Linked DNA regions of Oreochromis niloticus. The protein of the gene in region 4 purifies or fractionates together with the protein of the main gene of each other region. This does not show direct contact. Links are inferred from orthologs where the notes say so. Each region holds a gene or a part of one and is shown on either strand. Other genes may lie near its edges.

What was found.
Region 1: the proteins of fbl (region 4) and ddx24 purify together in Homo sapiens (affinity purification with mass spectrometry; 3 studies listed by BioGRID and IntAct, with this or other methods). This does not show direct contact. The link is inferred for Oreochromis niloticus from reciprocal best matches to the Homo sapiens genes FBL and DDX24.
Region 2: the proteins of fbl (region 4) and dcaf13 purify together in Homo sapiens (affinity purification with western blotting; 3 studies listed by BioGRID, with this or other methods). This does not show direct contact. The link is inferred for Oreochromis niloticus from reciprocal best matches to the Homo sapiens genes FBL and DCAF13.
Region 3: the proteins of fbl (region 4) and tgs1 purify together in Homo sapiens (affinity purification with mass spectrometry; 3 studies listed by BioGRID and IntAct, counting the BioPlex papers as one, with this or other methods). This does not show direct contact. The link is inferred for Oreochromis niloticus from reciprocal best matches to the Homo sapiens genes FBL and TGS1.

The regions. Positions count from the first base shown.
Region 1 is NC_031983.2:11,422,789-11,430,081, forward strand, and holds the start of ddx24 (ATP-dependent RNA helicase DDX24), read left to right. Parts: upstream 1-4,272; 5' UTR 4,273-4,412; intron 4,413-4,608; 5' UTR 4,609-4,612; coding exon 4,613-5,480; intron 5,481-5,565; coding exon 5,566-5,988; intron 5,989-6,079; coding exon 6,080-6,233; intron 6,234-6,971; coding exon 6,972-7,293. Other genes in the region: serpina10b (protein Z-dependent protease inhibitor), read left to right, coding at 1,347-1,947, 2,083-2,356, 2,518-2,665, 2,759-2,950. UniProt on the Homo sapiens protein: ATP-dependent RNA helicase that plays a role in various aspects of RNA metabolism including pre-mRNA splicing and is thereby involved in different biological processes such as cell cycle regulation or innate immunity.
Region 2 is NC_031976.2:15,122,663-15,130,485, forward strand, and holds the start of dcaf13 (DDB1- and CUL4-associated factor 13), read left to right. Parts: upstream 1-4,814; 5' UTR 4,815-4,999; coding exon 5,000-5,069; intron 5,070-5,388; coding exon 5,389-5,588; intron 5,589-5,667; coding exon 5,668-5,775; intron 5,776-5,861; coding exon 5,862-5,951; intron 5,952-6,041; coding exon 6,042-6,197; intron 6,198-6,353; coding exon 6,354-6,431; intron 6,432-6,541; coding exon 6,542-6,624; intron 6,625-6,746; coding exon 6,747-6,911; intron 6,912-7,823. Other genes in the region: mitochondrial folate transporter/carrier, read right to left, coding at 7-133, 251-396, 580-693, 2,053-2,207, 2,918-3,003, 3,545-3,695, 3,852-4,050. UniProt on the Homo sapiens protein: Part of the small subunit (SSU) processome, first precursor of the small eukaryotic ribosomal subunit.
Region 3 is NC_031982.2:1,809,351-1,816,730, forward strand, and holds the start of tgs1 (trimethylguanosine synthase), read right to left. Parts: upstream 3,017-7,380; 5' UTR 2,909-3,016; coding exon of another isoform or gene 2,905-2,908; coding exon 2,792-2,904; exon of another isoform or gene 2,743-2,791; intron 1,603-2,742; exon of another isoform or gene 1,433-1,602; intron 917-1,432; coding exon 855-916; intron 577-854; coding exon 449-576; intron 342-448; coding exon 251-341; intron 1-250. Other genes in the region: tmem68 (DGAT1/2-independent enzyme synthesizing storage lipids), read left to right, coding at 3,931-3,990, 4,879-5,049. UniProt on the Homo sapiens protein: Catalyzes the 2 serial methylation steps for the conversion of the 7-monomethylguanosine (m(7)G) caps of snRNAs and snoRNAs to a 2,2,7-trimethylguanosine (m(2,2,7)G) cap structure.
Region 4 is NC_031976.2:1,782,021-1,789,093, forward strand, and holds the start of fbl (rRNA 2'-O-methyltransferase fibrillarin), read left to right. Parts: upstream 1-4,066; 5' UTR 4,067-4,226; coding exon 4,227-4,236; intron 4,237-5,881; coding exon 5,882-5,998; intron 5,999-7,073.

The DNA.
Region 1 (7,293 bases), on a different chromosome or scaffold from region 4:
TTATTTATTCTTTACATCATCAACCTCAATACATGACAGTCTACAGGTGGTCTCCCCAGGCATTTAGAGAGCTGCATATTTTGGATGTCGTGGCTTTATTACTTATAAGTATGCATGTAGGCATAATGAAACGTATGATTAGGCAAGGCTTACAGACACAATTTAAGGGTGTCTTGTCCTTTTTGATCAGATTGATGAAAAAAAATTGTGTAGGACTTTTTGCTGAATTTAAATTGCTTATCACTGATGCATTGTTTTTTCTTATTTTTGTCCAGAATAAGTGGGGAACAAAGAAGCATCATGTAAACATGAGTAGTTCCAGCAGTGTATGATCACACAAGCCAAAATTCTGGCATTTCCAGACTTGTTTTGGTTTCTTTTCTTTTTTTTTTTTTTGGTCTTTGGGGGGTTGGGGGGTTGGGGGGGGGGCACACGTTAGAAAATCAAAGATTCATTGGTTTCATTTATTTGCTGATTATGACCTTGAAAATGGAAAAAAAAAAACAAATGTGTCACATCACCTACCCTTTGACGAAGTGGTTGATTTGACTTATTCTCACTTATTTTTCTCTACAGGACCGTAATGTCCTGAAAGTGAGAATCTGTCCTCGTGACTACACCAAACTACAGCATTAAAACACTTTACATTCATTCAGAACATTGAACTGACCATTCAGCGCAAATGTGTCTTGATGCCTTCACTAACATGTTGGATGTCATGCAAAGTTTGGCTTATTGTGCTGGATGATTTTTAAGAAGATTCCAAGATTTTGTTGCTGTTCTGTTTCCTTTGGATCTGCTATTTTTTTTTTCTATTTAAAATGCACTTGTGAAAAATTAGAAAATGTTGGTAGTTGGGGGGTTTTTTATTATTATTTTATTCACTGTGTTCTTAAATTCATTATTTTTGTTATACTTCATGTTAGAACAGCACATTCTTTTGTTTAATATATTGGTTCTCGTTCCAGGATTAAAGTGAAATTCACTCCCAATGCTTCTCGTGTCTCATTTACTTATCGATTGATTCTTATGGATTCACCTCTGAATACGTTTTTTGTGGTTAATGTGTAACATGTAGAGCACACTTGCACTTTGTTCCCCCCAAAAAATACAGAGAAATTTCAGGCACAATCTGGGCCAAGCTGAAAGGTACGTGGTGTTATTTTGTTAAACTTAAATACAAAATTTCAGAGCGTTTTCTAAGTATAATGCAGAAATAAGTATTCAGTTGGTGTAATCTTATATTTTTTGTAGATTTAGTGATTGTGCTGCTGTACAGTGGTGCTTTTTGTTTTTAATTTCTCGTTTCTGGGTGTGCACGCAAAACTTTCTAGGTTCTAATTTTGATGTTAAACAAAATGAAGATGGCCTGTTTTTTCTTTGTGGCCCTCCTGTGCTTTCTGACTCCTATCCACCAAGCTGGACCTAACAGTGCCACCATCTCAGATCTCTCCTTCAAAAATATGGACTTTGCCATGAACCTTTACAGAAAGATATCCAGTTACCATGACAAGAACATCTTTTTTTCCCCCCTGAGTATCTCTACCAGTTTTGCGGCTCTTCTAATGGCTTCTGATGGTGTCACACACAAGGAGATCCTGAAGGTACTAAACCTGGAGGCGCTGGAGAGGGCTGACCAGCCGGATCTTATCCCTAAACTGTTTCAACTCCTTCACGAGAACGTCACGCAAAATGGATCGCTGAAATTTGATCATAGCATGGCCTTGTTTATCCAACCCCAATTTATCATAGAGAGGGAGTTTGAAACCAAAATCAATAAGTTTTTTAATGCAGATATCAAAACTGTTGACTTTGCGGACACAACAGAGAGTATCAGAGTAATTAATGAGTACATTAGGGACAAGACTGAAGGCAAGATTACAGAGATGATTTCAGCCTTGGACGAACAGACCAAACTCCTGTTAATGAATGCAATTTTCTTTCAAGGTAAATTAAATCTTTTTTGCACACTTTAGATATTGGGTTTATGGGTTTATGTGCTATTAATTATACTAATATTCATGTCTGCACCTATGAACTGTTTTGTTTATAACTAAACGTACAATATTACCTCCTCCACAGGAGCCTGGAAGATGCCTTTCAACTCCAATTTCACTCGAAATGGACCCTTCTACATCGATAATTATAATATTGTGCAGGTGCCTATGATGTTTAAAGAAGACAAGTACTACACTGCAGAAGATGTTTCTCTGAGAGCCAAAGTGCTGAAACTGCCATACCAAGAGGGTGTTTCCATGCTTATCCTGCTCCCCAACCCAGACATGGACTACACTATGGTGGATGATGAGATTACTGCAGAGAGGTTTCAGAGCTGGATCGCAAAACTGAGAAAAATGTATGTGAGGAAAAATGCCTCGCTTTAACCAAGAGTCTGCATATTTTGTTGTTTAGCTGTAAAAAGCAACGGTTAACAAAAGTGTAAATGACCATAAAACAATGCCTGCAGCAGCAGATGAGCCAGTCTATTCAACATGTCAACTCATGTCTTGTTTGCAGGAAACTGGAAGTCAAGATGCCCAAATTCAACATGGAGCAGTCGTATTCCCTCCATAATCTTCTACCGCATATGGGCATGACCAGTGTCTTTAGTAATTTGTCCAATTTGACAAAGCTCAGTGAGGACAAAGGGCTCAAGCTGTCAGAGGTTAGTTGTCACTTTCACTGTCATGTAGCAACATATGTGCCTGTTCGCCAAATAGTGCAGCAAAACACTTTTAACCTTGCTGTGAAATTGTAGGTGCTTCACAAGGCCATGATTGACGTGGATGAGACAGGAACAACTGCAGCAGCTGCCACAACAATGGGTATCATTCCATACTCCCTGCCGAGGACCTTCACTATAAACAGACCCTTCTTCTTCTTCATATACCATGAAAACACAAACTGCCTGCTGTTCATGGGGAGGGTGATTGACCCCACCAACAAATAGTTTTGCCACTGTAATGTGTTCATTCTTAAGTGGCTTCTACATGACTAATTTGGTGGATGTTTTAATCCCAGACAGTTTAAAGCTTTTTTTTTCTGTTCTGTTCCTACAACATACTTCACCAATAATAATAAAAACTTCACCTGCATCACAAACTTGGATCTTTTAAATGTACGTACATCTCCAAATTATGACAACCAGCATAAATGTAATCACTTAATCGACAAATTAAACAAAACATCAGTACCACGTTCTAATAATGCACATCTTATCAGGTTATTAAACTGATGCTACCGGCTGACTATAATAATTGTAAAGAAACAGTTTTCTTTTGCCTTAAAGATTTTGCTTACAGTAATTTTAAAAAGAGGAACTCTAGTCAAATTTATTTAATTTACCTGATCACACACACACACACACACACCACCTACTCTACAAGTCTCAGTTTGCATGTTAAACAATGTTCATGACAGTACAATCAAACAGCATGGCTAAAGTTTTCAAAGTTGCATCTAAGAAAACCAGACAGATGAGACCAAAGTGCACAATGCACAACGCCATGTTTTGTGAAAACCAAACACAACATATCATACCAAAGGACTTTTGGCATTTTGTGGTCATTGAGTCATAGGTGAACTCTTTGTATACAAGTGAGTCAAATGATCAAATTTCATTGTGTAATGAAACAGAACATCGCAGGTTTGGGCAAAGCTACAACAGACTGGCTGAAGAAGGAAAGAATCAAGATGTTGACTCAGTGATCCAGTCAAAGTCCAGACCTCAACCCGACTGAAATGCTGTGGCAGGACGTTAAGAGAGCTGTGCATAAATGAATGCCTGCAACCTTCAAGAACTGAAGCAAGAGTGGGCTAAAATTCTTAAACAATGATGTGGGAGACTCCCAGAGAGTCACACAACAAGCGATTACTTCAGTTATACGCCGTTAAAGGTGGTTCCGCAAGCTCCTGAAACATAAGGGTGTAGTTGTTTTATTTTATTTTATTTTATTTTACAGGACGGCAGAGAGCCCAATGAAAACTTTGTTTTCCACAAATGCGTTTATTTATTTATGTACTAGATTATATGCTAGTTTGTCAGGTACAACCTTCATTAAAAAATAATTTTAATTATATTTGCTACTAATAATAAATACTACTGTAGTGAAGCAACTCCCTCGGCACAAACTTCAATACACCTTAAGAAATTACAGCGTATTATCCTTAAAATGAAAGCTGATAAACTAAAACCCTTGACATCCTCGGGTATTATTTAAACGTTTATTAAATTTTTATAAACGTTTATGTAGGCGGTATAAGGGGTTAAAATGACCAGAGAAATTGAAACAGCGCCTGTTGTTTAAATAAAGTTTTTCAAACCACGTGATCAACACTGTCATGGCTGCGCCCTCGTGTCTCGCGTTGATGTAATCGTAGCAGAAGTCTAAGAGAGCCTACACTCAGTCCAGGTAAGACTTTAGTACTCATTAATTCAACTAGTAGTTTACTGTAGACTTTGTACGCTTAGTTTCTGTTAATTATCGGTTAATAGTTGTCCGCTGGCGTTAAGAAACGTGGGGTGCACGTGTGCTTTTAACAACTAAACGTTAGGAACTTCACGAGGTCGGCTAAAGTCACTTATTTTACACCTTTACTTTTTTTCAGAAAAATGAAGACAAAGAAGATGAAGGCGAAAAACAAAGGCATGTCCACCGGGCTGGGGAAGCCAGCGAAACGTTGCATCGACATGAAAGGCAAATGGAAAACCATAGACCTCGATCCCAGCGTCTTCTCCGAGGAGGGCTTGGAGGGTCTGGTGTGTTTCGAAGAGCTCACGGATTACCGTTTAATAAACAGTGAGCAGGCTGCGGCCAAAGCAGCAAAAGAGCTGAAAAGGGAGAAGAAGAAGAAAGCACAGAAAAGAAAAGCTGGTGACGGCGAGGAGGCTGGAGAGAAAGGAGACTCGGGGATCAAAGAGGGGGAGAGCACAAGTGAGCCAGCGAAGAAAAAAGCCAAGAAGAAGAGGAAAAACAAGAAAGGCATTGCAAAGGAGTCGGAAAATATTTCTGCAGAAGACGTAAAGCAGAAGGATAATGCTGCCACTGAGCAGGGAGGAGAGGATGAGGTATCAGGTGAGGGCGATGAAAATGATTCTGCAGCCATCACTGCTGATCCCAAAGATACAAAGAGGAGCAGGAAGAAGAAGAAAAAGGGGAAAGGGCAGCAGACAGTGAAGGATACAGTCCCAGAAGAACAGCCAAACCCAGAGTCTTCATCAGATCTGGAAAAAGAAAAATCCGGTCAAAATAAAGTGACAAAGGCCCCACACAAGAAGGCAAAGAATTGGACAAACGCTGCACTTTCTGGTTCTGAAGACAAAAATGTTGACATGAGTGCATGGAAGGACCTGTTTGTCCCCCCACCTGTCCTGAGGGCACTGAGCAGTCTTGGATTTGGTTCACCGACACCGATCCAAGCCCTGTGTTTGCCTCCAGCTATCAGGGATCGTATGGATATACTGGGAGCAGCTGAAACTGGTAAGATAAAAGTGATAGGTTTATAGTGTAATGTTCTGTTCACAGATTTTTAAAAGTGAAGCTAATACGGATGTTGTACTTACAGGAAGTGGCAAGACACTGGCTTTCGGCATTCCCATAATCCATACCATCCTGGAGTGGAAGCATAGCCCAGAAAAACCTAATGATGACGCTGAACCAGTCACAAAGGTGGAGAGTTTGTACTTACCATCTGTAGATGAGTACACAAAATCAGCTGAAGAGGACCAAGAGGAGGGAGTGGAGGCTTCTAAAGAAAACGATGAAGATGCTGAGGATCAGAATCAAGGAGACTCGGATGAAGATGAACACAGCGATGTAGAAGATGAACAGCTTGGATGTGTTCGGGTAATCAAGAATGCAGACTTTGATTTTGATGAAAAACCCGCTGGTGCTCAGAGTCGACCCCTCTTAGGACTGGTCCTCACTCCCACCAGGGAGCTGGCTGTTCAGGTCAAACATCATATTGATGCTGTCGCAAAATTCACAGGTAAGTCATAGCTCATCAGAGTATTACGATAGCAGTTTTCTTCTAAGAGATCTATAAATGTCAGCATAGCTAATGTTTTCCTGCTGTGCAGATATAAAAACAGCCTTAGTGGTGGGTGGAATGGCACAGCAGAAACAAAGACGAGTGCTGAAACGCAGGCCAGAGATCATCATAGCAACTCCGGGGCGTTTGTGGGATTTGATCAAGGAGAGGCACCCACATCTGGTCAACCTCAGGCAGCTCAGGTGAGTCTTAATTTAAGACTGACTTATTTGCTAGAGGTGGTAATCGATACAATATTATCACAGCGCTTCACTTATGATATGATATTATCATGATTTTTATTATTTTGTGATATGCTGAGTATTCCAATAAAATATGTCACCTTTTTTAAACTGCAAGTTATTTCCTAAAGTTAAATATATGTTTTATTTTACTTTATTTTACTAACATTTAACTTGCGCTCATCAACCTTCCTGTTTTATAAGAATATACCCAAAATAGAACCAGCTGGCAGCCAGTTGATGAACTGTGCACATTGAGAAAGACTCATTCAGACTCATGGAAACATGTTGGCTATCTGTCTGGTTTCATATATTAGATAACAATTATTTGCAGAGTGATTGCAGTCAGTCCAAATCAGACTACACCTGTTAGTAGGAAGGGTGCCTCCTATCAAGTGAATCGAGCCCTCTTTTCAAAGTTTTCCCAGAGTATTTTAATGTATTTAATAAAATATTAATATTTGGTGTTCCTGTATCAATACAATATCGCCACACAAAATATCACAATACCACAATAAGGTTTTTTTTTTTCCTTCACCCGATTACTGACACTGATTTTAACCCTCAAATCATATCATGTGTGAAAGAGCCTTGAGCAATAGATCAGTGATTCGGTGTTCTGTGATAAAGTCTTTCAGGCAGGCCTATTTGTTAGATTTTTGTTATCCTTTCTTAATTCCTCTTCTTCTTATGACACAGGTGCCTGGTCATTGATGAAGCCGATCGCATGGTAGAAAGAGGGCATTTTGCCGAGCTGGAGAATTTGCTGGAAATGCTAAATACGACACACTTCAATCCCACTAGGCAAACTTTTGTGTTCTCTGCCACTTTGACGATGGTTCACAGCCTTCCCACTCGCCTCCTTCAAAAGAAGAAGAAGAATCTGGACCAGAGGAACAAGCTGGAAATTCTTATGGAGAAAGTGGGGATTAAGTCCAAGCCCAAAGTCGTTGACCTCACCAGGAAGGAGGCAACTGTGGAGACACTGATTGAGACTCAGATCCACTGTCAGAAAGATGAG
Region 2 (7,823 bases), about 13 Mb from region 4:
AAAACCTCATTTATTTTGCCCGAGAAAAAAGTGAGACACGTTCTCGTAAACCACGAAGGTGATGCAACAGGCTGGGGTGACGCGGATCAAGTTGGGGATGATGCCTTTGTAGAAACCAAGGGTGCCTTCATTCCTGAGGAGACAAGTGGGAAAATGGTAAGCATCAATCATAACAGTCACTCGAACTGTGCTCAGAGCCTGAGACGGGGGCGGCACGCTCGGTCCCACTGTGAGCGGATTGGTGTCTTACCTCCATGTCCGTCTGACGACATCAATAACTCCGTTGTATCTATTGTGCTGGTCTTGCAGGCGAGCTCGCACCACTTGATATGGGTATGTTGTGGCCACGGCAAATATTTTGGATAATGCTGCCATTGTGATGTATTCCAATGGGTTCTGTTCCCACAGACAGATAAATGGAGGGAGGAAGAAGGGAGCAGAGCAGTGTAGGAAAACTGATGAGTCACTTGTTATCAACTGTGGACTCTGTCTCATTAGACTCAAAAGTTACAAGCCTTATGGCTGAGTTTTATTAAACAATGTTTCCAGCCTGTCTGTGGCTCACGGTCTGTGACTCACCAGCTTTGCGTTTGAATGTGCTTTTCTGTATTTGTTGTAGTCTCTCTTGAGCTCTTCGTAGGCCATGAACTGCAGTGCTCCGTGAGACGTGCCGAGCAGACCGGGAACATAACCCTTTTAAAGACATACTCTGTAAGTCGATCTGACTTGAGACTCAAATTCCCACAGTGCAACTTATCCACTGAAAAGCCCACAAATCTGTGGCTCCCCATCTCTTTGCTCTCTGTGTGTTTATACACCCCTCTGCATTTAATCATTAGTTAGTATTAATCTCTGGCTCTCTTCCACAGTGTGTCTTTTGTCTTGTCTCCCTCCCCTTAGTGAACCTGGTTCTGCTGGAGGTTTCTGTTAAGGGGAGTTTTTCCTTCCCACTGTCGCCAACTGGTTGCTATAGGGGATCGTCTGATTGTTGTGGTTATTACTGTGGGGTTTATACCTTACAATATTAAGAGCCTTGAAGTGACTGTTGTTGTGATTTGGCGTTATATGAACTTAATTAAATTAAGGGCCCTTGGCCCTATTTTCTCTGGAACTTTAGATATCCTGTTTCCGACAGCAAATTACAATTCAATATTGTTAATGAAGAGGCTGACATACTGCTTAAAACCTCTACTACTGCATAAATGGGTTGTGTTTTTTTCAGCTAGAAAGGCAGCTGATGCCCTCTAGTGGTGATTAAAGTCAACAGCGCCTACGAGGTCTTCAGTATTCCTATCAAAATAAGCAAAGGTGAGATCTGAGGGGATATTCAGAGCACATTAATTTGTCTCCCCACTTAGAAACACGAAAAAAAGCAAAATAATTCAAAAAGAAAACACGCCAGAACATCACTGAGCAAACCAACAAAAGCTGCACCAGGGCTGAGGCTTCTTTCTTTAACAATGAGTGTACTTACTCCCAAAATATGGATATGAAATATGAGTCCTAATCACCACTGAATGTTTGGTGGTAAACCTAATGATCCCCAAAGCACACAAACACACCATGTTGTTATCTAAGCGAGCAACAGCACAGTCTCTCCTCTGACACCAGCAGGTAGTCTGAAAACCACAGTGGACTATTTTTTTGTCAGGTCTTTAAGGAATTGTTGCTAGTTTGCCATCTCAGTAACAAAGCTGAGATGCCATGCATGAAATCACAGTATGCATGTTTAAGCAGAACCAAACAAGTGACAGAAAAGCTGTCACAAACGAGGGTTATCAACTTGTTACATTGAATCTCACCATCTGGGACCAGGGAGACAAAAAGGAGCACGGAAGAGGAAATCATGTCTACAAGTGTTACTCAACAGGGATAATATGTTAAAGAAGAAGAGTTGAGAATAATTATTTGTAAATAATAAAGACTACTAGAACATTCTGGCATTAACAGGTGTAGAAAAATCTCCCAGTTTAAGCCACCCCTCCCAAATGTTTAAACTTGCTAACCAAGAAATCTTACATCATAAGGAACACCAACACACTCATGTCTCACCTTGTAGAGTCCAGACACTCCTTCATGGCGGTAGATCTTAACCAAAGCATCAAACATCCCCTTGTACTGCTTGCTATTTCGGTCAGCACTGTACTGCAGCACCAACCGGGTCTTGGTCACCCAGATTGGGTTGGTAAGGGTGAGTGTGAGGATGCCTAGGCAAGGACAAGCAAGGAAATGTCACTAGGAAGCACACGTGACTTCTACTACTTTATTAGACCCGTGATTATTAGCACACAGGCCCCTCAGTGAAGAGTCATTTACTATAACTGAATATCTATGACATGAAGAACAGGACCAAGGAGTTCACAAACTTTGAAGTGGTACAGGAAAAAAAAAGACTTATGTGAAGTTGTGCTAGAGATCTCACACAAATGCCCAGCTGTTTGTGCACAGCACAGTTTGGAATTAGCTGATCATGTCACCAAAGTGAACAAGAAGCGCAACAGAGTGCACTGGTGCACTTTAATGCCACCCAAGCATCATTCTAACCTTCTCATTCTCATTAGAATGATGTGAGTGCCTGATGGGGAAAATAAATAAATAAATCACAAGATCAAATCAATAAAACATATCTGTTTTGGTTTCATTTTTTTATGCTGTTGATGGTAGCTATAAAACTTCCCCTGTCACTGGATTCTTCAATTTATTTCCCATGAAAACCTTGCAAAGGCTGTAAATGCCTTTTTTTCCCCATTCACACGAGCACTTGAGGCTGCCCTGAACCAGAAGTAACTAACTCCTTGTCAGTTACTACCAGTTTGTAGCAGTCGTATCTAGCTGGTGTTATTGACCATGTGCTGGTTATATGGTGGGGGAGTGGTGTTCTGTAGTGCGGCAGTGTTCAAACACGGGTAGTACTAACCAGCTTCAGCCGCTGACACCAGGTATTCTGTGGCACTCAGTTCAGCCTGACGACCTTCCTTTGTGTACCCTTTGATTGCATTGTAGCTGTGAGGGAACAGGGCAAGGGCAATAAGACATCTTGCAGTTGTAAAGTCATACATGCTGCTTTTTTCATTCATAGAGTGCTGTACAATCCCAAACATTATGGCTAACAGCTAGATTTTCCAGTTTCAGTGCAGCTAGCAAAACAACAAGCAGCCACTTACTGCTAAAGAGACAGACAGTGAAAGTGGACAGTATATCCTCGGTTTCTTAACATAAAACTCATTGTTACAGCCAGGGGCGGCATAAAAGTGATTGCCTTATACTCATTTTTAGTTTCAGTGTCCTTGTTTTCTTCTGACTTATCGATTCTGTCACTAGTAAGCTAACATAAACTAATGTAAGCCTATTAGCCGCAACCAACCAACGACATGAAGTCAGAAGATGGAGCTAATCCTGTTTTTAAAACTTTAACTTTAAGCACTTATCCAGCTTCACAGACAGTGTTACACCTATGTCAGTTTTTGCGAGCAGGGCTCCATGATGTAAATTAGCTTTTATGTGTAGTGTTTCATGTCCTCTTTAAGGCTTATAGCTTACGTACAAGAAGAAGTAGAGGCCCCAAGATGCACCAGCACCCCAAACGTTGGGTGTCACGCCTTGATAGAGTCCTCTCAGTCCCTCCTGCTGCCAGACACTCTTCATGCAGTGCAGCATGCCACTATACTTCGGTCTTAATTCAAGTCCATCACTTACTGCATTTAAAAGACATTACAGACCTTGAAGTCATATGATACGAATTAAACACATCATGGCAGTAGTTTCTCAGCAGCATCAAGTAAAGTCATAGCAGCATGGCACATCAGACAGTAAGGAAATTACTTTTAAAATTTCATATTTTCATTTTGTACCTGCAAACCTGATTTTGACCAGGTCCAGGGGATGAAGCACGAGCGTTGACACCACTCCCCCGCTGAGTCCCGCGATCAGGTTTTCTACCCTCACATGGCTAAAGACCTTCTGTAGTCGTCCGCCGAACGAGACAGCAGACACGGGTTTGCCGGGCAGTCCTGTCTCTGAAACGGGACCGTGATTTGGAGCGGAGCTCATGGGCAACTTGGGTAGCTAGCTAGATCCTACCGGCTAGTACTGTTTACAACACCGCAAGCACGCACCGTGTCAAAATGTAACTCTCTCTATAAAACTGAGGCGAGTTTACAAACAGTACGAGGACGGAAAAGCTTCCTCATATCTCTGTGCTAATGACGCACCACGTTTCTAACATGCGGAGGTACCTCACAGGTGTAACGCACTCTCCAAGTGTCAAGTCGCAGAGCCAGTGCTCGACCTTGCTGTTATTATTAAGGAATGACAAGTTCCCGTTGTTGAAATAGTACTTCCGGTTAAAAAATTCAGAATAATTCACACGTTAAATAAGATAGTATTTATGCTTTATTTATTTATGTATTCATTTTGCTAATACAAAAGTTAGGATTTTTTACGTGAACATATTTTGTATGATGGCTCGGGGGACATGTTTGATAAAACTTAACTATATTAAAAATATACGTTTTCCACATAAATTACATAAAATCAGTGTGGCTATTCAAATAATGATTTAAATAGTGCTTTTACAGGCTTTCATATATCTTTTATTTCTTCATAATTTTGTAATTTTGAACTTAATTATTATGTCTATCTTATTCTGTGTCTTCGGTAAAGGTCCCTTGAAGTCGCCGTGAACCTTTCTCCGAAGGTTGGCCTTGGGTTTCCTTGACTTAACTGAAAACAAATAAACGAAAAAAGTATTTCCGGTCCTTCTCTTTCTAAATGTTGTAACTTTAAAACTCGTTTCTTTACTTGTGACTGACGCAACCATTGACTACAGTCAATGGATGCAACGAGGAGGACAGGACATCCCACAATGCAACGCGAGATCGCTGACTCTCATCGCTAGCAACCAATGCTATCAACACATGGCTGGTGTGTTCACTACTTGCTAATATTTTTGTTGCTGTAATTTTCCTTTTTCTGTAAGAGTGTGCCCCTTCGCTACCAAATGAAAGTTAAAGTCATCGCAAGGAACCCGGATGATTATGTCCGGGAGACCAAACTGGATATCCAGCGCGGTAAGTGAAACACTTCGGCTAAATAGCTAACAGCATACATACGAAAGAGCTACAGGGTTAGCATCTGATTAAAGCTACTGAAACAACAGTCATGCTGTTAATCTCATTTTGCATATCTGTCTTTGCATTTAGCTTATTTGGAATTGCAAATTTTGCTTCACATATTTCTAAACCCCTATAATCTTATTATGGAACCTAAAAACAGTCTGTGATACATGAATTGGCTAGCATCAACATACCTGCATACTTAGATTTTTTTAATTAATGGAAATGCTCTTTTCTGTCAGCACGTAAAGAAGTGACTGCTGTGTGTTTTTAGTCCCCAGAAACTATGACCCCTCTCTTCATCCGTTTGAGGTGAGCAGGGAGTACACTCGGGCTCTGAACGCCACCAAGCTGGAGCGTGTGTTTGCCAAGCCTTTCGTGGCCTCGCTGGATGGTCACAGAGATGGGGTGAACTGTATGGCCAAGCACGCGAAGAGCCTCTCCACCCTGCTGTCAGGCTCCTGTGATGGGGAGGTATGTGGAGATGCATTTCCTTTTAATCTCAGCCTTTCTTGCAAACTGACAGGACTCTCCTTTTGGATTTGATCTTCAGGTGAAGGTGTGGAATCTGTCCAAACACGAGTGCGTTCGGACGTTTCAGGCACATGAAGGTTTTGTGCGGGGAATGGTTGTGCGTTACTGTGGGACCTCTTTCTTTACGGTAACTGATCATCGTTTTGAAGACCTTTCTGAATTGTTTGACTTCATATTAGCTGACATCTAACGTGCCTTCTTTTTCTGCAACAGGTCGGTGATGACAAAACAATCAAACAATGGAAGATGGAATCACCAGGCTACGGAGAAGAAGAGGAGCCAATTAACACCATCCTGGGAAAAGTATGCTGTAATAATTTTGCTGTTTCATCGCATAGAATTGCATATTCATGTATCGGTGAAGTATGAATGAAAAAAAAATGTCCCTTGTAGACTGTGTACACAGGTCTGGACCATCATCAGAACGATCCTGTATTTGCAACGTGCGGCCAGCAGGTGGACATCTGGGATGAGCAGAGGAGCAGCCCGATCCGCTCTTTCACCTGGGGTGTAGACAGCTTCAGCTCTGTGCACTTTAACCCTGTGGAGGTAAGACACCACGTGCTTTATCTCACACACATGGGCCCCGCCCTCCAGTCATGTGACGAAAAAGATTGCTTGGACGTATAAGCTCACAAGTGTTTATGGCGACTTAAAGCCAACACATGTGCTGATAAATAAAGACAAGGGTTATCCTCTCCACAGACTGAACTTCTTGCAAGCTGTGCCTCTGACAGAAGTATAGTGCTCTATGACATGAGGGAATCTACACCACTTAAAAAGGTAAATCTCCCCTTACAGTTTGTGCAGGAATGTACCCGTTTATCTCCCTGTTAATTTACATGGATGTGGCATGATAATCAGCTACTTTTTGCTCTCACTTTCTTCTTAAGGTCATCATGACAATGAGGAGCAACACATTAAGCTGGAACCCCATGGAAGCCTATTACTTCACATGTGCAAATGAGGACTACAAGTGAGTCTGGGAAAGAAACTCTGATTTAATCATATGATCACATTTTAGCTGGTCCTCCTTTTTTTTTTTTTTTTTTGTCAGCTCATAGAAACTGTTTTTTGTTTTTTTTTCCTTTTCACCAGCCTCTACACATATGACATGAGGTACCTGGCCAAGCCCATCATGGTACACATGGACCATGTGTCTGCTGTGCTAGATGTTGACTATGCTCCCACGGGGAAGGAGTTTGTGTCTGCCAGCTTTGACAAGACCATCCGAATCTTTGCCAAGGACGGTGGACACAGCAGGTCAGTAATGCTGATCAAACTTTATGGTGCCAGCAAAGTGTTAAGAAAAATTGTACTGTTGTTGACTATGCTGTATAATTTGTGGTGTAATTAAATTATAGCATAAATCCTTTGGTTTGGTTCATAGCTTTGTTTTTTGACCCCCTTTGAGTGGGAATAACTAAAAAAAAAAAAGATGTAATTCTACTGATGTTATTTCCATTCATTCTTTACTTTCATGACTTTTGAACACTGCAGCTCTCACCAGACTGCCATGCCTGATTATAGACCAACTAAAAAATGGATGTAGCAACCATGATGTCACCTTCTGGTTTGTGAAGCTCTGTATTGATGTCTCAGGATGAATGTTTTCACCTTCGCTCTCTTCGGTGTTTTGGGGCATTTTGTCAATCAAAATGTGTCAGCCAATGAGCACATCCTGGATAATCATGATTTTTGAAAGTTGGTGACCAAAATTTATAAAAGTCACTTAATGTTTTATGCAGTATTATCCAAAATGAGTGACTGAGCGCGTAAACTCAGGTGTTTTCCAAGGTAAAGTCGGAGCGATGATTTTGCATGGACTTCTATGAACCTCAACACTGAGGTTTGGGAAGTAAAAATCCCATTCATATTCTCAATAGGGCTTTTGATTATGAGCCACAACATTGTAATCATCCAAAGCAGACGTAAAATGAGCTATAGTATTGAAATGACAGTATGTGCTCCTGTTGCAACCACAAGTCTGTATGATTAAATCTGAATGTCAGGTCAGGAACAAAGCACTGCACTAGATCTATAACTAGGCTTTGCATTACTTTATATACACAACACAAACTGCAAAATATATTCAAAAATATTATTATTCATCAATGTTTTTAACCATATAAACACTACAAAAAGGAAAAGGATTAAATTTGATAAGAAAGGTGA
Region 3 (7,380 bases), on a different chromosome or scaffold from region 4:
TGCTGCCACTGAAAGCTCACTGGTGCATGTTGTCGCAGTAATCCCAGTACCAGATGGTACCTGTCAGCTCCACCACCTACAAGCAGAGTGCAGCTCTGGCAGTAGCTGACACAAAAACTCAGGTATGGAAGGAGTTCAGTTAGACCGTGGAGAAAGTGGTTACTCTACCACATAAAAACTCATAAAAACCTTACAATTTGTAACATTACTCGTAATAAAAACAATAAAAGCAATAAGATAATTGCATTACCTTTTTCATCAGCCTGTGGATCTTCTTTACTTTCCTCTTCTTCACTTGTTTCTTCACAGTATTTTGAGGAACTCCTGTTAGACCTCCACCCCTGTGACATGACGAAAAATAATAACCAAAACTGCTCTTTAGTTTCCATTAAAAAAACAGTGACTTTAATAACACAGCACAACAAAGCCAAGATGAAGTGTGACTTACTGCTCTCCTCTGCTCAGACGAGCACACAAAGGCTAAAGGTAGGCCCATACTGGCCATCATCTGAGTTTCTTCATCCAGCTCCTCCACCTCAGTCTCCTCTTCCTCCTCCTCTTCACCATCATCTACGTCTATGAGTTGAGAAATGTATTTTTAAAATCATGGCAACTAAAACTAGACAGTACAGCGAGGTTAAGAGAGCCACATTCTTCTACAACACAGAGTATTCAGTGAGAACACCAACTCTTTACCAAATTCAAGTCCGTCTTATGAGATGTTAGAGAATCAGAATCATGTTCCTCAGAACCTGCTAAAAAACACGTACCACCAACCCCAATTCCTGATACATTTCATAGATGATTATTTTAATCCCCAGTACTATTAAATATCATGATAGGATAGGATATACCTTGTACAGTGTTTTCCAGGTCAGGCAGAAGTCTGTTATCAGAACGATACAACTCTCGATCCCTGTAAAGAGGCGATGGACATAAAGGACAGATGTACTGTAGGACATCCATAGATGCATCTGTACATATCAGCGTATCCACTAAAACTCAAGGTTTTTGGGTACTGAGAACAACAACATCTAAATGACTGTGAAAATATAAAGTAATATACTTGCATTCATACAGAGTTTTTCTACTCCTATTCAACACTCAAAGCATTTGACATGACACACGATATTGCCAGAAGTATTCATTAAATCGTTAAATTCAGGTGGTCCAATCACATCCGGGTGTATAAATCAGCACCTGGGCATGCAGACTGATTCTACAAACATTTGTGAAAGACTGGGTTGCTCTTAGAAGCTCGGCGAATTCCAGCGTGGTACTGTGATACGATGCCACCTGTGCAATCTTGAAATTTCCTCGCAACTAAATATTTCACAGTCAACTGTTAGTGGTGTTACAACAAAGTGGAAGTGAGTGGGAATGACACCATCTCAGCCACAAAGTGCTAGCACGTAGTGCACAGGTCACCAACCTTTTGCAATTGCTACAGAACTCCAAACTTCACATGGGCTTCAGATTAGCTGAAGAACAGTTAGGCAGCTGCATTGAACGGGTTTCCATAGCTGAGCAGCTGAATCCAAACCTTGCATGACCAAGCGCCACGCAAAGCATCTAATTCAATTCAATTCAATTCAATTCAATTCAATTTTATTTATATAGCACCAAATCACAACAAAAGTCGCTTTATATTGTACAATAGATCGCACAATAATAAATACGGAGAAAACCCCAACAATCATATGACCCCCTATGAGCAAGCACTTTGGCGACAGTGGGAAGGAAAAACTCCCTTTTAACAGGAAGAAACCTCCGGCAGAACCAGGCTCAGGGAGGGGCGGCCATCTGCTGCGACCGGTTGGGGTGAAGAAGGAAAACAGGATAAAGACATGCTGTGGAAGAGAGACAGAGATTAATAACAGATATGATTCGATGCAGAGAGGTCTATTAACACATAGTGAGTGCAGTGATGTAAAGCATGCTGCTATTACTAGACTTAGAACAAGCACTCTGTGGAAAAGTAAAAATCTCCTGCCTTTCATAAGCTCCAGTATTTGATAACCACCAATATTTAAAGCTTTAACACAAACACCTCTCACAGCCTAAAGGGAATTTTTACAAAATTAATTAATTTGAGCAGAGACTGTGAGCCAGGTCTTCTCATCCAACATCCTTGTCTGACCTCACAAGTACATTTCTAGAAGAAAAGTAAAAAATTCCATGAACATACTCCTAGAAAGCCTTCCCAGAGGAGTTGAAGCTGTTATAGCTGCAAAGGGTGGGACAATATCATGGGATGTCACTCAAGTGCATATGTGTGTGAAGGCGGACGAGTGAATACGTTTGGCAATATAGTGTATGATAAGTTTCCACCGCTCTGTGTGCAAGACAACACCTCTCCTGGTGTGGCAGCTCATACCACACACTGCTCATCTTTCCAATTCAGACTTAGCACACAGTTGCTAACATTTTCTTGTGGAGTTTAGCACACCATTGTACTAGTAACAGTAGCAGCCTTGTAATAACTGCGATTTATTCAACTGTGATTGATATAACTTTTAAAAACACTGCTTTGTGGTAGTCTTCAATCAAGTCAGTTATACAACAGTAAATCGGCTATTCATTAAAACGACATTTAATACACGAAATTTCAAAGATTTGACTGGTTTTCATTTCTTGCTGTCTTTTAATAATCCACACTGGCTGGTTGCCATGGCAGCCTGGCTGAGATGTCAAACACCGGTTTAGATCAGACTGTTGTTCGACATGCGGTAAATGAATTACGTGTATGAGAATAGCTCTAGCGGACAGAGGAAAGGTGGTGGAGGCTCACTGTACGAAGGCTCTGGAGCAACGACAATGAATCGTTTCTTCCTCCTGCAGTGACTCCTTCTTGCTGAAGATGATTTCCGCCACCAGGGCTACTCTTCTCATTTCCAGCATCATGGCGGTTAGCTCGCTACAACAAGAAACACACTTTCATTTACCGACGAGCTGCTCGCGTCTTTAAGCAGCATGGGACTCTTTCCTTTATTATTGATTATTTCCGCACTAGAAGCTAACAGCGGATTTTCCGCTATTTTTCAAAATAAAAGTTGCAAAGTAGTTTTTCTTCGGCACATTAATGTAACTATTTTTACTGAATTTATTACACTTTTTTAATTTAATGGCACCTTTTGACATTTTCCACTTTTACTTTTGAGGGATATTTTCTAATTCTCTATGACTGTATATAGTTACTGTTTGAAAGCTGGTGCAATTCAGTTTTGTTTTTATTTTGAAGCGAACGAGTCGACCCGGAAACTCTTTATTGTAAGCCAGTAAGAACTCTTTCATCGGTACAGCACAGTTTTAGGATAGAAATCTGTGACTCTGTGTTCCCCCAACGACGTTCCGGGTTGATGAACAGGATAGTTGATAGCTCTAAGAAGTATAGGTTTTGCTAGTGTAATACTGAATATCGTGCTACATTCTAATGGCACGCTTTACCGAGTAAGCAGTCGGTAGGTACCGTTTTTATGTTTGTAACCGTGGAGTTGGCTTATTGAGAAATGTCAGATTTTCCGGCTCCTTCAATGAGACTTAGCTCTCAGTCAGTTATTATACCGTAGCCCGAGTTCGCTGTTGTCATTTTGCTGATCAAATGTAGCCTCTTCCTATTCCCAGTAAAAAGGTGGTGGTGTTCTAGATACTAATGCTATGTAAAGTTGCTGTCATTTGATTTGATGTTAAAAAGCTGCTGGTGTTTATTAGAAATTGTAGTTGGTATAATACGTGCTATTTACATCTTTTCTGATCTGCGTAATCCACTGCGACTGTGTATTTGTAAATGTAGTCACAGAACTGAGTTAGCGGTGTCCTCCTATACCTCCTTCTTATGTAGCAGCCGGTGTTCTCTATGCAGTCTACCTGAGACCTGATCTGAGCGTCACTCGGTTGAGCTGGAGTTCTCGTGGCTGAGAGCAGAGCACTATGTCAGGCACTGGCAACCAGTCATGTCTGACGGGCGCGGAGGACACTCTCTCTCTCTTGGTATGCATCCTGTCCATGCATTACAGGCACCTAGGACTTGATAATGAAATCGAGCTTACCTAGAAACAAATGTGTTATTTATTTAACATCAGCTTTGGTGTTCATGCATTATTTTATTTTAAGACGCACACAATACAACAAATTTTCCATAATAGAGGGTTAGCACTGTTGCCTCACAGCAAGAAGGTCCTGAGTTCAATTCCACAATCAGGCCGGATCTTTCTGTTTGCATGTTCTCTCCCAGTACTCCTACTTCCTCCCACAGTCCAAAGTGCTTGGTGAATTGGTGAGTCATTGCCCATAGTGTTAGCCCTGCGACAGACTGGCGACCTGTCCAGGGTGTAGCCTGCCTCTTGCCCTTAGACAGCTGGGATAGGCTCCAGCCCCCCACAAGGAGAAGCAGAAAAAGATGCATGGATGGATTTTCCACAATATGTTGGCAACAAGTGGATAATAAGTCCCACAGTTTGAATAATGGGATGTCTCTCCAGCCCTCTTTGAGGCCCTCTCCTCCACAGAGGAGGCGTTCAGATCGTGGGCCCCACGCCATTCTAAATTTAAATGTAGATAATTTGTCCCGAAATGTAGTTGTTATTACGATCTCACCTGGTATTACAAAGAGTGTTATACTATCACTATGTCACATGTTAAGTTGTGAAAAGAGCTTCTATGGTGTCAATCGCCTAGAAACTCTAGATTCTCCCTCAGTGGTATTTTATGTCCAACTGTAATGTTACATAACACTGTTAACCAGTTTTTAAAAGTAATGCTAATACAAACAAGAATGTGTTGCGTATTTTAAAGTTACCTATCCAGTAATTATTGAGATGTTTTCATCTGGACCAAAGTGATGGATGTTAGTATTGACATTCTGGTCCTGGTCAACAGGTGTGTTTGTTTCATGCATGGGAGGAATGGGCAGGTCTTGATCAAGAGGACTATCTGAGTGTCTTGGAATACCTGTTGTGGGTCTTCACACCCCTAGCCATCGTCTTCATTGTGCCTTTCCTCATCGTTATCTTCCTTTACCTCTCTATACTCTTCCTTCATGTCTACAAGGTACGTAAACAGTCCCTACAGTCTCAGTCACATAAATAGAGTAACACAAATCAAAGACCTTCACTGTTTAGTTATCATCTACAGTTCCCTCTATAATGTTTGGGACAAAAACACAATTTTAGTAGCTTTGCCTCTCGACATCTGCACAGTATTTATAGGACTGTCTGACTGAAGTGCAGACTTTCAGATTTAAGTAAAGGAGTTCACAGCTATTTTTTTTTTTTTTTTACATAGTTCCCTATTTTTAGAGGGACAGTTGACTGGCAAGCAGTTTCATGGACAGGTGAGGCCTGCTCACTTGTTATTTCATAAAAAAATAAACCAGTTGATTCAAAGTATTGAGTGGTATTTTATAGTTTTATATATGAGGCCTAAGTAGGGATGGGAATTGATAAAAATTTAGTAAATCCAGTTGCATAATCAATTCTCATTGAGACCATCTCTAAGCAGTATGTCACAGACATTAAATTCATGCATGGTCAAATGTCTGTGCACACTGGAGGTGTTTCCCCAGTTTGTTGTGATCAGTGTTGGGATCATTACTCCAAAAAAGTCATTACTGCACATATAACACACAACACTTTTCTTCAAAGTAATGATTTCTTTGAACTGTTCTTTTTCCAGGTTTGGAAAGATTGTACAGCATACATCTTTCATTACTTTAAAAAGTAAAAATTGGGTGCACAAATTAGAAGTTATTTTGGATTTTCTCTAATTCAATCGGGAAAGTCTTCAACACTACTTTAGATAAATAATGGTCTCTCTATACTCCATGTAATGTCAGGAAGTTGGCAATGAGTCGTTTACTTTAACCTACTTACATCAGACATTTTTGACTATGCTTGTTGACATCACACCTTTTTTTTTTTAGCCTTTATAGGATAGAGACAGTGTAGATCAGGGGTCGGCAACCTGCGGCTCTTTAGTCCTTATATTGCGGCTCGGAAAAATAAATTATAAGTATTTAACTGAAGTGTTTTTTATTTGTGTTAGTTCTTTTTTAAAACTTGTAGTTCTAAATTGGAAGATTATTGCGATCTTGAATAATAAAAATAAAGTTATATTTTATTATTTTCGTTGTTCAAAATAAGCGTCACACTCTTTGAAGCCGGTATACCCGCCGAAACGACGTGCGTTTACCGAGACTTTCAGCCCCAGGTAGGCCTAGTATGGAGAACTGTAAGAAAAGAAAAATATCTGAAGAAAATACAACATTTAACGATGCCTGGGCAGAGTCATTTGTATTTACTTCTGACGAGAGTGGCCTACCAGTATGTCTAATTTGTGGCGTGTCGATCTTCGGATCCACATATGTATGTGAGCATCTGTTCTCCACCATGAACTATGTTAAAAACAAACACCGCACACGCCTCACAGACGACAGCTTACAGTCCTGCGTAAAGATGAAAGTGACTTCGTACAGCAGACGCTGTGCGCAGAGGTTCAGGAGCAGAAGTCCGATTGTAAACACATCACGGCACCGACGATGTTTACATGAACATGCTCTTCAGCATCTCTTTATTGACCACTTTTCACACACACAGCCGGCTGTAGCTTTCCAGCGCACAGCCCGACACATACAAACAAGAGCAGAGAGAGCAAGCAGGTGAGGCGTGATTGCGGATGCCACTCAGGTACGTCTGCCTCTCCTGCAGCGTCACTGCGGGCCACGCCCCGCGAAGCACATTAACCCGGTAAAATAAATATTATGCAGATATGTTGAAAATATTTATTTTTAATTTTTTAGGAGCATAGTGCTTTTTTCCAATTATTTTTTAAATTCTGGTCAAGGCTCCGCTCCGGGAAGCCCAGAAGGCGATATAAGGATGACGGCTCACTGTTTTTCTTTTGCTACATGGATAATTTAAGTTCAGCTTTTTAATTCATTTAAAAGACACCTTCAACTGGTTGACTTTATTTTTAGTTATTATTTTTTAAGGGGTGACAATGTGTTCATTACATAAATAAAATTTAATTTTCTCCGTCTTCTCTTTGCTGACCCCTGGTGTAGATGGACAGGAAGAGGGGAGACGGAGAGAGAGGGGGGAAGACATGCAGCAAAGGGCCGCTGCTGCTCTCGGGCCATACGGCATATGCTCGCCTGCTCGCCCGCTGAGCTAAACCGGTGCCCCAGGCTGTTATATTTGTGCTATTACTGTCTCTTCGATTTTTTTGTTGCAGAGAGACGTGTTAAACTGCAACTCTACTTACTGTTTTTTCCCCCAATTATCTGTAAAACGCACATCATTTTTGATCGCCACTGAGACATCCAGAACAGGAGACCATGTGGCCAAACATGTCACTCCCAGTCCGACTGGGGAGGGGGAATGT
Region 4 (7,073 bases):
TCATTTTGTTACTGTCTCACTTATTTTGGTCCTGCTCCAGCTATAATCTTTTCTGGACAGATTTTTGTACTTTTGTTGTTTCTTTTATCTATTCTGACTTCTCTCTCTGTTATGGGAAATATTTTTTTGATTAATCTGCAAATAGGGCAATTTGATTAATTAACTCATTTTACTGGCTAAAATTCATAGATATAAAACCAAATTTTCCAATGGAAAACCGTCTTTTCAATGCTGTATAAATGAAACCATACAATATTTTAAAACAATACAACATTTCCATAATGTAAAAGCAATTAAAATAAACCTATGCTCCTTCTGTGATATCGTGTGATTCAAACCCTTAGCCTGTGTCTAACTGTTATTACATGAAACTCCCTGAAAGTGTCTTTGGCTTATTTAACTCTGTGATGTTTGACTTGCTAAAAAGTGCCTGGGCCTCGACTGATGGCCATGAGACTGTAACCTTCTTCTTCTTTTCAGTTTAATGGCGGTTGGTAAACCAGCTTAGATGCGCATTACCGCCGCCTGCTGGACTGGAGTGTGGATCTGGAAAAAATCACAGATTTCAACAGTTGGCCATAAACTTGAGACAGTGCCCTTCCGAGCAGGTTTTCTAATGTCAAATTTATCTTCAGCTCCTCAGAGATTGCTATTAATGCCTTCGTGTCCTAAACACAGACCAGCATCCTAACAGTACATGTTGAACACAGCCCAGTTATTTGCAGTGCTCACACAGTTCCATTGGGTGCTTGACTATTAGCTGTAGTGTTTTATTACTACTGGTTGAAAGTTTGGACACACCTTCTCATTTAATGGTTTCTCATTATTTTCATGACTATTTACATTGTAGATTCTCACTCAAGGCATCAACACTATGGATGAACATGTATGGTTCAGTAAAAGGACTAGATGTTACTGTCCCTGATATCGCATTGCTTTAAATGGAGAGAATCTTGAGGGATGGCTGTTATGAGGAAAGACAGCCCAGAAACTTTACCAGCAGCACACATCGTAGTGTGCTGTATCAAACAAAAAAGTGTGAAATAACTCCAAACATGTTTTATAATTTAGATTCTTCCAAATATCCGCCCTTTGCTTTGATTACTGCTTTGCACACTCTTGTCATTCTCTCCATGAGCTTCATGAGGTCGTCACCTGAAATGGTTTCCAACAGTCTTGAAGGCGTTCCCAGAGATGCTGAGCACTTGGCTTGTTTGCCTTCACTCTGCGCTCCATCTCATCCCAAACCATCTCCTTTGGGTTTAGGTCAGGTGACTGTGGAGGCCGGGCTGTAGTCGTTGCAAGTGTCTTCAAGATGCAGGTTTATTGAAATGGCCATAGTGAGTCCTTGAATATAGTAGGCTACTGTGAACTCTTAAGTGTTAGGTCATGTTTTTTGCACTGATCGCACTTCTATGTACACCCAAACACTAATGATAGCTAATTTCACCTCGTGTTTGTTTCATGATAGGTTTTCTTTTTCATTTAAATCAATGCTGCCAGCATCTCTGGACGGTCTCTGCCTCAGCAGCAACACAGATTTACATAAAATTGATCATTGATAAATTGTGTTAATTCATCCGTTTTTGTGTGTGTAAAAACTGTAAACTTATATCCAATGAGTTTGTTCATTTTAACATTTTAAACTTGCATTAATGTGACACTGGAACTCATTGTTGTTGGAAATGGGCCTAATATTTGACTTGTTCAGTTTTATTTATAGATTTTTTATAGTTTAATCAAGGTGCCATCAATCAGAGATCCCCTCTGAACAGCTCTTTGTAAGAGTAACAAGGAGGAGAAACCAGGGTCATGAAAGGGCAGCCACTGTGAAAATACAAATATTGTACAGTTAAATTTGTACAGACTATATCACTGTGGGTCAACCGTATTTTTCATTGTTCACTCTTATATACAGTCTTGGATATACTATGTACTATATTTTATTTATTTATTTAGTTTATTTTTATTTTTGTATTGTTATTTATTGTATATATATTCTTCTTTTTTTTCTTAACGGTGTGCTCTTTTCACTTACACTGAGTGGCAGGGGCGATTTTAGCCCATTTTTGGGGGGTGCTTCAACCCTCAATTTATTCGTAATAATTTATTCTGTTTTGGGAGTATTTTTATGTATCTGTATTATATTATACATACACATTAAAACTGAATCTCTGTCCAAAAAATGCACTCAGTTTACTTTTTACTCACTATGATCATCATTCATTATCCTCCCCCAGTAATTAAGGTTAGGATGTGTATTTTTTTATATTCCAATCCATTCTTCTTTTGTGGCATTTAAATAAACTTTATCAGATTTATGATTTTGTTACAGACTTTTCAAAAAAGTGTTTTGCTTTTCTTTCACAAATGTGGGGATTAAATTGTGTTAAAATGTACAAAACAGTGATGTCATGTTTTGTGACGAGGACCCAGGCACAGAGAGACTTGATGAATTTAAGAATCTTCTGATTTAAGAAAGAAATTTGCAGACTTGCACAGAGATGGTAAAATTCTGATGACTGATAACGGAGATGAAGACAACAGACGACGAGGACAGGGAGGAACAGGGGTTTAAATGCACCAAGGAGACAGTCAGAGAGAACTCGGGACAACTGGAGACATTTAAGGATGCAGGGACTGACAGTCTCTGTCGTGACGTGTAAAGTTTATCTTGCCTGGATGGGCAGCTCTCTGGGTGCTCAGCACCCCCAAAGCTCTGATCCTAGAATCGCCCCTGCTGAGCGGGTTTGCATACAGTTTCCGTTGTTCTTAAAGCACACTGACAATAAAGATTCTAATTCAGCCGTCTGCGTTCAGATGAGGGTGAAGAAAAGAGGAACTAAGATGTATGTTAATGACATGCAGTAGTGGCATATAAACACATGGGGAGTGAAAAGGGGTGTGGGGGATTCCCATGATGCTCTGAGCCTATATCAGAATGACAAATGACTCAGTAATTATTCACTGTGATTTCCAACATTTCTGCTCAATAGAAATGAATCTGAATCTGATTTCCTTTCAAAAACAGTTATACCCTGCTCCTCTGAGCAGCAGTGATGTGCTTGTACGGTCTGTGTGTTCTGATCATTTAGCTAACATCAGTACAAAGACTTTCTTGTTATTTTGAAGTGGTCTTTTAATAGTTGTCTCATCCAGGGAGCTTGGAGAAAAACAACTGGACTTCTTTAAGTTTCTTGAAGATGTTTCACCTCTCATCAAGCTTCTTCACTTCTAAAACCAAAGGGTGCAGAATCCTGGGTATGTAATCCCATGTGGGAGCTGGCCCTCAAGAGGACCAACAATATTGATCACATGTACCAAGGTGTGAAAAAGGGTGTGGGGTCATTATTAGCAGAGGTTTTGGGTGAAACTATTGTGAGACCTTATGCGACCCATTGAGATCACCTGACGCATGATATGAGTGGGGGTAAGGGTCTGTTAAGCGTCTGGGAAGGGATCTCAAACTGCCTTGTAGATGGCAGACAGATGGTGTCAAAGATGGCTGCTCACAGTGGACATAGGTGGTTCTCAAGTCAAGTCAAGTGGCTTTATTATCATTCCAACCATGTGCAGTGGTACAGTACACAGTGAAACGGAGCAACGTTCCTCTGAGACCACGCTGCTACATATAACAGACAATCAACACAGGATTACATAAAGTGCAACAAAACCAAAACAAAGAGAGTGCAACACCAGACAGAACAGAATAATGCAGACACAAGACAGTGCAATAGAAAAGTGCAACAACGACAGCGGGTTGTGCACAAGAGTGAGCATTGTGCAAAAAGTAACTTGGTGTGTGTGTATGAGATTGTGCAGATAAGTGCTGCTTTGACTCTCTTTCAAACCATGTGAAATGTGAACACTAGCATCCTCGAAAGAGTGACCGTTATCGTTTAGATGCAGATATCAATCAGAAATCAAAGACGGATTCCGGCTTCAACATTGTGACAGGAAGGTTGTTTTGGCACAACATCCGGCAGCTGAGAGCAGCTGTCGTCTGTTTGAAAACAAGATTTCCGTCTGTGTCCAGTTGGTGGCGGTAATGCGCCATTTTGCTTGCTAAGCAGCAGTAGATTAGATAGAAGAAGAAAGTTTGTGCTCGGTCGCACAGCTGCACGTGGGACGTGATCACACCGTGTCTGTTCACTGAGGATCAACACAGAAGAGAAGCGATTCGACTCCGCGGGCTGCGTTCATTTCAGTAGTTTACGCCAGAAACGATGAAGCCAGGTACAGTAAGATTACATGTGCTTATACTCGGTAATGCGGGCGGATGTCTGATCGTGTATTTAATGAGCCTGTACAGTTAGATACACTGCGTGGACGGCCTACACGGCCACGTTGTCCGTGAAAACTACAGCAGACTTGGGCGAACAGTGGCTGCCTGAGCGCGTGTTTTGTTCACGGTGAGACGTTCATGTGTCCGCGCAGTCTGAGTTGAACACGCGCTGTGCTCCACGCACGTGTCTGGGACTCAGTGGGGCCCACACAGCGACCTCCGTTACAACCAGAGTTACGGTTTTACTCAAAGTCGGGTCGTGCCGTCTGTAACCCGCTCGAACTGTTTACAGCTCCACGAGACGTAGCTCGCGCTAACGTTAGCCCGGCCGGAACTTTGTGTGTTTGCGGTTCGGTGAAAGTGTCCAAACATCACGGGGACGGCCACGCTGAGCACGCCGACACAGAAGTCAGTGAGTCGAGTCTTAGCCCGTGTTCCTCCCTGTTACTTCTTATGAAGGATGTTTCTGAGTGTGGGGCGTGTTGGAAGAACCACGTTATGTGCGTGTTATGCTGCGTCCCTCAGCTAGTCGGAAGTCGGTGTTTAAATCTGGAGCGCCACCTCAAGTCGCGTTTCGCACTCGAAAATCCCGAGCAGCCCCAGCGACCCGGGTTAACGATCCAAGATGGCGGCACTGACGTAGGCAGCCATGTACTGTAAAAGGTTGCTTTGGCTCATCTGGGATTTGGGAAAAACGTCAGGTCCCACCTTCATGTTGGCACCAGCTGTCTGACCTGCAGGGGCCGTCTGTTTCACTAGTGCCTGCTTGGCTCTGCTTTTAGGGTTTCCAGTAGGTGTTTGTACCTGATACCAGGGAACCTGCTCGTAAGGGGTTGTAAGTGAGCTGAGTGGGGTCAAAAATGTGACACCAGTGGAATGGTTGGCCCATCGGTGGCATCACTTAGTGAGTCTTGAGAGTAACTCATTCACAAAAATCTAAATTACCTTTTTTTTAAAAAAAACCAAACACAGCTAGACAAAGAACAACACTGTGGTCTCAGAGCCCGACAAGAAGCCATACACCGAGCAACAGGGATACCATCATCTTGATTTCCTCCTCTCTTTGGTGTTTGTGGCATACAAATGAGATCACGGGTCTTTTAGCCACATCGCTATAACGCCCACACCCACATGGAGGTGTTACTCGGCCGTAATGGAAAACGACCAAAACAGAATCTTTTGAAGATGAGTAGCTATGAGTGTAAAAGCGGCACCATCGTCCTTGACTCTCAGTGGTCTGGTTGCCACGTTACTGTGGATAACTTCAAGTTTGAACGTGTTGTTCCAACATTGCTAGTTTTGAAGAGGTGGATATGGTGTGTGTTTGAAGTTTCTGTTGGTATTTCACAACCTCCAGATCCACATGTGGGGCAGCTGTGGCTCAGGCTCATCTATCAAGGTTGATGGACTGACTCACACCGACTCCAGTCTGCATCTTTGTGCAACATATTGAACCCAGAGTTCCTCCAATGCACTCAATGTGATGTGTGTGTGAATGTCAATGGATAAAAGTGCTTAAGAGAAGATGATTGGGTGAATAAGTGTTATAGATGTGTCCGTCTATTTACACATATAATAAATGATTCATGGTTTCAGGTTTCAGTCCTCGCATGGACAGAGGAGGAAGAGGTGGAGGACGCGGTGGAGGCAGAGGAGGGTTTGGTGATCGCGGAGGACGAGGAGGATTCCGGGGAGGATTCCGGGGAGGAAGAGGTGAGACTGGAAACGTGTCGTTTGTATCATCACATCGTGGATGTCATCCTCAAATGCCAGGATGATGACTTGAAGCAGTTACAGAACAAAATATTTTTATTCAGGTATCTGCTAATAATATAATATTATAGGCTGTTAAGTTCAAATGGTAACAGTTTTGGTGTTTTGAACACACTTTCGGAGTTAAAGCAGCTTCCAAAACATTGGGTGCTCCACTTGATCACAAACAGCAGCTGAAGTGTTGCTTTGTATTTCTGCTTCTCCAATTACCCGAGCAATCTTTAAACACCACCGCTTTCACCAGACCACCGCATTTTAACCAAGCATTGAGCGCTCCACTTGTTTCTTAACCCTTTAAGACCTACCATAGAACCAAGTCCGCCAGAGTTTCTTTACATTTTACATGCTGTAGTGCCATTTTTAGGAGCATTTCAAGTTGCTATACATCAATACAACTGTTATATCCCAAATTTTAATAATATGTATGCATTAAGTGCATAATAATTACATAAATTGCAAAAAAGTGCAATAAACTACAAAAAAAGAAAATCATTTTTGTTTTTTTAACATATATTTCTACTTAGAGAAATTTAAGAGGCTTATCCCTCAAAACTGTAAATACAAAAAAGTTGCACAAAATAGTTTCCAGCAACAGGAAATTTATTTTGAGTGTCTTCAGTTTTATTTTTGAGATACACCAATTTTTATATACTGCAGGAAAAACGAAAATAAGTATTATAATCCAAATTTGCAAAGAAAACCGCATGTGCATCAAAATAAACTATTTCCAGCAGTGCAATTTGAGTTCTAAGCATCCCAGAAACTATTCAGAAAAGCATAGAGTCAAAGATGACTTTTAAAAACACCAGTATAGGCTTATAAGGCCCCGAAGGTTAAAAAAAACCCTACATTTTCCACGAATATGACGTCACTTCCGGTTTCGGGCAAGTAATGGTGGACATGCGATAGTTCGCGCTGACGTCTATTCCAACGTAGGAAGTGTTTTGAACAGCTGATCGTATTTGCAAAGCCTGTTTCTGGAATATTGTTTTTCATGCTGCAAGTGCTTTTTATG